2 linked regions of the Alligator mississippiensis genome follow. The protein of the gene in region 2 interacts with the protein of the main gene of each other region in a pairwise test. Links are inferred from orthologs where the notes say so. Each region holds a gene or a part of one and is shown on either strand. Other genes may lie near its edges.

Region 1 (3,743 bases), on a different chromosome or scaffold from region 2:
GCCTGAGAACATCTCAAAGCACCTTAAGGAGAAATGCCTGGTCTCTAACATCAAATTCAATCAATGTTCAGGTCCGTGGGCCAGTACTGGTCATCCAGGTAGTGGTTGCTGTCTGTATTACTGTCTGTAGGGCTGCTAGGGAAACTGTGAGGAAGGCTGCTGGCAAGTTTCTGCTCCCACTCTTCCTCCACCAGTCTGTAGAGCTCCATGGATGTCTGAGCATCTTCCACCGACGAGTGCCCTCTCCGGCCAACCTGACAGCAAAGGAAGAGAGCCACGTTAGAGTGGACAGTCAGCAAAGATCCTGCACGCTAAGCTCTCATACACTACTTATCCAGCCGGTTTTGTTGGACCAGATTCAAATACAACCAGGCCTCCACCCACATCTACACCTCTAGCTTCTATGCGTATTTGGCCCACATCAGCCAAGTACTGCCCTTACAACACCCCTGGGAGGTACAGAACCACTCACCTGAATTCTTGTATGCAGCAGCTGCCTTGCCAGACTCTTGAGAGAGACGCTGGCTTTCAAGGGGAATCCTGCCTTCTGGTTCAGCAAAGGGATCCGACTGGTATCTCGAGTCTGCTCTTTGGGGTGAAAATATTTGAGGGCTTGGAAGTCATTATGTATGGCATGGCCCACCACGATCTTGTCTTTCAGGATCTGCAGGACCTGGAAGTGTCAGAGGGAGGTGAGTTGGGCAGCAAAGCCAAAGTAGAACCCTCTGCTGCACTGACTGGTTTATCTAGTCAGGCTTCCTAAGGAAATCAATCCCAAAAGCCCTCCAATGACTATCCAGACACATGCTACAGTGAAGCAGGGACAAATGTTTCAGAGAAGCTGTCTTGCTGCACCCTCCAGGGCAGGTTAAAAAATAGTAAGAGAGAAGTGGAAGGCAGAGATAATGGTGCATGAGGAGAAGCAGCCTAGACATGCAGAGCATCCTGCTTTAGGCTGACATGCAGCAAGCCAGACTCAGAGCCAGGACTGGGTGGTCAGGAGTTGACAGGTCCCACACCAATCATGCCTCTACTGTGCTGGGGTTTTGAAGAGCTCCCCAGTGAGCCTGGAAGGAGGACAGGTGACAAAGCCTCCCTGCCTGCCGTTGTCAGAACAGCAACATCCCAGGGTCCTGCTGAAGGAAGAGCAGTTTCATCCCACCTGCCCTAAGAGGAAACAAAGCGAGACCTCCCCACCCTACCCCCATGCTTACCTCTCTCTGCGCAGCTTTGAATGGGGTAGCGTTCTGCATGTGCCGCTTGGTGATCCCACTCCACGGAGTCCTGTAGTCCACAATGGGGAGCTCCGGCCGGATATATTTGTCATAGACAACATCTCCGTTGTAGCTGACTACTGTGCATCGTGCCAGCTCACTCAGCTTCCCACCAGGACCCGTGCCCACCATCTCGCAGTCAATGGCTACATATTTCCAAGGTCTCTGGAGTGACCAGGACAAGGAAACTCTGCCTGACTTGGAGCTTGCAGGCAAAGATAATCTACATGCCAAATCCTGGGGTGGTGAGAGGAGGCGCTGCCCCGCTGGGCCCTCAGGACTGTCTGACTCAGCCTGTGACCGCACCTGCTTCGGCTTGGTGAGCTTGGCATGGGTTTCTCCTGCAGGCTGCTCACGCACCATGGATGCTGGCTGCCCACAGCTGCCCGTTTTCTTGGTGAGTGGCTCCTGTGCCATATCTGCTTCTGGCAGCTGGAGTATAACTGGCTGGACCTTTTGTCCCAGCTTGGGTCCCAGGAGCCCCCTCTGCTCCAGCAGAGCCCTGCGCTTCATAAACCGCTGGTGCTTCCGGCTCTTCTTCTTAGCCTGAATCTGCAAGGCCTGACTGTCAGCCTCCGCTGGGAGGCACGGCTGGGCTTTGGACTGGGCACAGCACAGGTCCCGCTTGGCATAGTAGTACTCCAGGAACCGGCCCTCGGACTCCTTCTGCCCCAGCCTGCAGGCCTTCACTGGCCTCAGGACACCTGGTGCTTGCCCCTTGCCAGCAGGCATCCTGCCAAAGCCAGCCAGGGCAACAGGTTAGTCAGTGCATGGGCAACCAGGAGACACCTCACCCCTGTCCCATCCCCCAGGGGAACCCCGGAGCTGCTGTGCTATGGGCATGGGGCCAGCCTAACCCACAGCAGTCACATGGCCTGGGGGACTCCCACAGCAAGTGGGGGGGAAACAGGTGGCACTGCCACGGGCACCCCCCAGCCCAGCCCAGCCCTGGGAGCCGGATCTGCCCTTAGCTCATTAAAACACCCACACGGGGAACGAGATCATTGCTCCGAGCCCTGCCCCACCCCCCTGCCCCAAACCCACCTCGGACCCGCGCCGCGCCGGCTACACGTGTCTATCCCGGAACTAGCTGTGGCAATGGCTGCCACATGCCCGGGCAAGTCCCGCGCTCCGCCCCGCCCCGAGCCGCCCCATTGGCTCCCGGGCCGGGCTGATCTGCATAAAGGGCGGGGAGGGGCTTTTTTTCCCGGGAATTCCGGGCGGGTGTTCGGAGCGCGCCCTGCGCTGGGCCCGGCTGGGACAGCCCCATGCCTGAGGCTTGTAGCCGGGGTGTCCCAGGGTGGAAGGGGCTGCTGGGGACCTCTGGGCAGCAGCCGTGGGAGGCTGCATCTTAGGGCTCAGGCAGAGGGAAGTGAGGGGCAGCGAGCAGACGGGGCTGGTCTGCTCTGCTCTGCACAGGGGCTACCCCCTGGGCTGTCTCTGGCCCTGGGGCTTGCTGGTAGGATGCCTGTCTGGCTTTGAGGAGTAGCCAGATGATCCATAATGATCAGTAAGTGTTGCAGGGGAAAGCCACTTTCTTGGCAGGGACCCAGGTAATGCATATTTAGTCTCCCACTTTCACCCCCAGTGGGAAGATCTTGGCTATATGCTGACTTTATGGCAATGGGAGACTCCTCCCTAGCCATATGGCTGAAGGCAAACAAAACCCAGGGGCAGCCAAATCCCAAGCCAAACCCTGGACATCCACACCTTAGGCCTGCACTAGGATGTCTGCCAAAGGATTTGGAAGCCTCTGAAGCCCCAGGTGGGGGTGGAGCATGCTTGCTCGTAGTAAGGCAACATACGGTTCTTGAATGACTCCTGGGTTTGGAATTGATTTGGCTGATTTGACTTGGGATGCGAAAAATTTTCCTTAAAAAAAAAAAAAAAAGGCATGGGTATCACACTCCATGGCAGACCAGAGCCCCACGGTGTAAGGCACTGCACGTGCCCAGAACACAACTCTGTTAGCACTTGGGAAGAGAGACTTGTATAATCCAGCTGTGATTATAAAGGCCAGTGTCTATACCTGTTGGTGTAACAGCTCTGCACAACAGACTTCTACTTGCACCCGGTTACATCAGTGGAATCTCCCACAACACACGCAGGCTTTATAGGGTGGGAGTTTTTATTCTGAAGCAAGTGTCTTTCCCTGCTTTTACTTTGGGTGTTTCCCAAGCAACCTAAGCCAAACAGCAAGGAGCATTGCACCAAACTAAGAGGGACTGAATGGGGGATGAGGGAGAGAAGGGGGTGCCAGGGTAATAACTATGGCTACAGCTACATTAAGTGCTCTTCCCTGGTGGAGGAGGACTGGTATTGTCACCCTAACAAAGTGCTTCTCTCAAGGTTGCAGCTAATCCAGCAAAGCCGCACGCTGCGTGAGCATAGTAAAATCATAGTAGATCCACCCCCACAGACCAAACAAGCTCTGCTCGTGACAAACAGGGTTCTACTGTTAAAACAGTT
Region 2 (3,743 bases):
TGCCACCCGGCGCCCGCGTCAGCCTGGGCACGGCCGCAGCCCCCGGGGCGCCAGGGCCAGCTGGGGGAGCCCCTGCCAAGGGGTCACTGCCTCGAGGTGCAGCAAGGCCAGCCCCCACCGGGACCCCAGGAAGATGCAGAAAATGACCCCCTCCAGAGACAGGATCCAGGGGGCTTAGGCGCAGAGCGGGGGCAGGGGGCTTAGGCGCAGCCTTCCCCTGTGGGATAGTCAAGGAACCCCCCAGCCAGGGGCACGTGGAAGCAGCAGGCCCAGCCCCCAGGCAGCCCGCCCCATACCTCGTGCTGGCACTTGTGCCGCAGGCTCTGCGTGGAGAGGTCGTAGATGGCCAGCGTCCCGTCCAGGTAGCCCACGGCGGCCAGTGGCATCCTGGGGGGCCGGGGGAAGCTGTTACGGGGGCAGCAGGGGCAGAGACTACCACTGCAGCTGAGGGGGGAAGTCACAGGCAGAGCCCCTGCTCCATGCAGCGGTCAAGGGTAGCCCAGGCAAAGGGCAGAGATCACGTGACTCCTGGCTGCCAACACCCACCACCCCATGGCCAGGACCCCGACCCTGACCCCCGCACTCACACATTGCAGAAGCCCAGCGACTCCACGGAGTTCGACTCGGGCTCCTCGGCCGCCCCGGCTGGGGTCTGCGGGGCGGCGCTCCCCTCCTGGAACACGCACACCACCTGCGGCACACGCCTGTCAGCCGGGGACTCGGTAGCCCAGCGGGGATCCCATGGCAGGGGCACCACGTTGCAAGGGGGCCCTGGGCCATGCCACCCCCAGGAATACGGCCACAACCCCCCCCTCCGAGGGCTCCAGCAAGCGGGGATGAGCTGCCTTGGGCCAAGGGTGCACCCCAGCATGTTGGCCCCGCTGCCAGCAGTGCATGCAGTACACTCCTGGGGCAGCAGTGCATGCAGAAGGCTCCTGGGGCAGCACATCAGCAGAGACCCCCACCCAGGGGTGTCCCCCCAACTCAGTCCCAAGATGACACAGACTCACCTTGCCGGTGGCGGCGTTCACCAGCTTCGCCTGGCAGTCCACAGAGCCCGTCAGGACCAGGCTGCCGTCCTTACTGCTGGCCACACACGTCAGGGGGCCCTGGTGCCCGTCCTGGCCTGGGGAGGACCTGGGGTGAGCCCCCACGGCACCGCCACTCCCAACGGCCCTCAAACCCGACCCCAGCCCCAGGTTGGGACAAGCCCTGCCTACCTTTGAGGACGTGGATCGAGCTGCCCTGCTTCAGGTCCCAGACGCGCACGGTGCCGTCCTCGTAGCCGACCACCGCTGTCTTCCCTGGACGGAGAGAGGGGCTCGCGGCTCTCATCACCCCCAAGACCCACCCCCGCACGCCCGGGGACACCCTCCCCGCCGCACGCCGCAGGGGCCACCCCCAACGAGCACCGCCGATGCCCTGACGCCCTCCCCCGGCCGCGCCGCACTGGGGGCAAGGCAAGGCAGCCCGCACCGTCGGGGAGAACCTTGCCGCAGGTGGCCGGGCAGCTCGGGCCCTGGAAAGTCTTGCAGTCTCCGCCCGGGATCTTCCACATCCAGGAGTTGCCGTCGGCCGTGCCCGCCAGCAGGACGTGGGCCTGGGGGTGCCACTCCATCCACTGGGCAGAGGGAGGAGGACGCATGGAGCCCAGGCACCACGCGGGGCGGGGCGGGGCGGGGCGAGGGGACCGGGCCCTCGGCCTGCACCCCCTCCCCGCTGCCCGGCCCCCCAACTCTCACCTCCAAGTCCCCCACTTCGAAGGACCAGACCTCCTCCTTGGTGTCCACGCGCCACACCTTGATCAGCCCGCTCATGTCCCCCGTGGCCACGAACACCGAGTCGTGGCTGAAGCCGGCGCAGGTGACCGAATCCTTGTGACCTGCGGGGGCGGAGAGGGGGCAGCTGGCGCGGGGGCCGCGGGGGGAGGGGGGGCGGCCCCGTCCACCCCCGCCCGGGGCGGCGCGGCCGCGGGCGCCTCACCCGAGCACTGGAAGAGCAGCTCCCCGTCGCTCAGCCGCCACACGAACGCCTGGTCGTCCTCGCCGCCCGTCACCGCCAGCGTGTTGGTGCGCGGGTCCAGGCTCACGCAGAACACGGAGGCTGGGGGGACACGGCCGCACGTCCGTCAGTGCACGGCGCGGCACGGCGCGGCGCGGGGACGTGCGGGGACGGGGCTCACCCGAGTGCCGGGCGAAGGTGACCTCGCTGTCGTCGGGGGCGGGGGGGCCGCCGTGCCGCGCACCCCCCCCCTCCTCCTCTTCCTCCTCCGTGTCCCAGGCCTCGTCCTCCGGCCCCTCGTCTGCGTCCGCGTCCACGTCCACGTCCTGCATCTCGGCCGCCAGCTCGTCTGCGGGGGGGGGTCCGCGGTCAGAGCCTGCAGCACTGGGGGGCGCCCCCCCGCAAGGTGGGGGAGGGGCGTGACCCCCATGAGGGGCGGGGGAGGGGCAGAGGTGGGGGAGGGTACGCACCCCCCCAACTGAGGGCATGGGGGAGGGGCGTGACCCCGTGGGGGGCGGGGCGTGACCCCGCGGGGGGGAGGTCGTGACCCCGCGGGGGGCGGGGCGTGACCCCGCGGGGGGCGGGGGGAGGAGGGGTCGATCGTGACCCCGCGGGCGCTCACCGGGGCCGGGCGGGCCCAGCTCCACCACCTCGATGATCTCCTCGTCGCCGTGGAAGAGCATTGCGGGGCCGGGGCCGGGGCCGGGGCCGCCGGCGGGCTCCATGCTGCGCTGCGCTGCGCCGCGCCGGGCTGGGCCGCGTTCCCCTCAGCGCCGGAGCAGGGCGCGGTGGGAAGGGGAGGGCGCGGCTCCGCCAATGGCGAGCGAGGAAAGGGCCGCTGCAGCCAATCCGCAGGCGCGTCATCGCCCGGGCCCTGCCCCTCCCGCAACAGGGTAGGTTGTCCTCCGCGCCATACGCGAGGCCGCGGGGCATGCTGGGGAGTGTAGTCCCCGATCCGCCTTCGGCCGCCGCGCGGGGTGTGTCGGGACGGCGCAGGGGCAACATGGCGGCGGCCGGGCTGCGGGGTGAGTGCGGCGCGGGGAGCCCCGGGATAGCGCCCACCCCAACTCCGCATGAAAGCCTTAAGGGTTTGGGGGGTACTGCGCATGCGCACTAATGCGGGCCGCGACTGTCCGCGTTTCTCCTGCGATAGCTTCTCGGGAGAGGCCGGCCCTGCGCCTGCGCACGAGCGCCGCCGGATCGGGGCTCTGCAGGGCCCACCCCCTGCCTCAGTTTCCCCCGCTGCAGCAAGGCGCTGCCCCGCTTTGCCTGGGCCAGGCCCAGGTCAGACCAGGTGGAGGGAGGGGGCTGGGGGTCCCGTCCAGCACAGCCGTGTCCCCCGTGCGTCCTGCCCTCAGCTCCGCTCAGCGTTTATCACACGAGTCGCCCGTCCACAGCATCACGTATGTAACATGTGCCGCCCGGCTCTGGGGCGTTACACGTGTCCGGGCAGTGACGGCCTGGGGCCCGTCTACATTTATTGCGCGATTCACCAGTCAATTTGTGTAACAAATGTAAGGTGCGGCGGGGGCCTTAACTCCCAGCAGGGAGCTGTGGGGTGGCATCCCCGCCCCGACGACTGCCCCACTGCCTCCGGTGTGGCAGCGCTGTAATGCGGGTTCAACATTACGTGTGCCCGTGACCCTGCTCCCCCCTTGTGCAGGCTTCTTCTCCGCGGCGGCGCGCCGCACCGGTGTCCGCACACCACAGCCCTGCCGCTCACAGGCTTCAGCAGAGATGCA

Evidence for each region.
Region 1: the proteins of AAMP (region 2) and AEN interact in binary tests that used the Homo sapiens proteins (3 or more experiments, as listed by UniProt). The link is inferred for Alligator mississippiensis from reciprocal best matches to the Homo sapiens genes AAMP and AEN.

What each region holds. Positions count from the first base shown.
Region 1 is NC_081834.1:14,261,311-14,265,053, reverse strand, and holds the start of AEN (apoptosis-enhancing nuclease), read right to left. Parts: upstream 2,391-3,743; 5' UTR 2,319-2,390; intron 2,008-2,318; 5' UTR 2,007-2,007; coding exon 1,215-2,006; intron 674-1,214; coding exon 473-673; intron 255-472; coding exon 57-254; 3' UTR 1-56. UniProt on the Homo sapiens protein: Exonuclease with activity against single- and double-stranded DNA and RNA. Mediates p53-induced apoptosis.
Region 2 is NC_081827.1:253,655,007-253,658,749, forward strand, and holds the start of AAMP (angio-associated migratory cell protein), read right to left. Parts: upstream 2,816-3,743; 5' UTR 2,727-2,815; coding exon 2,624-2,726; intron 2,351-2,623; coding exon 2,183-2,350; intron 2,104-2,182; coding exon 1,984-2,103; intron 1,883-1,983; coding exon 1,743-1,882; intron 1,622-1,742; coding exon 1,477-1,621; intron 1,305-1,476; coding exon 1,221-1,304; intron 1,127-1,220; coding exon 1,011-1,126; intron 692-1,010; coding exon 588-691; intron 388-587; coding exon 297-387; intron 61-296; coding exon of another isoform or gene 19-60; exon of another isoform or gene 1-18. Other genes in the region: probable hydrolase PNKD, read left to right, coding at 2,933-3,026, 3,665-3,743. UniProt on the Homo sapiens protein: Plays a role in angiogenesis and cell migration. In smooth muscle cell migration, may act through the RhoA pathway.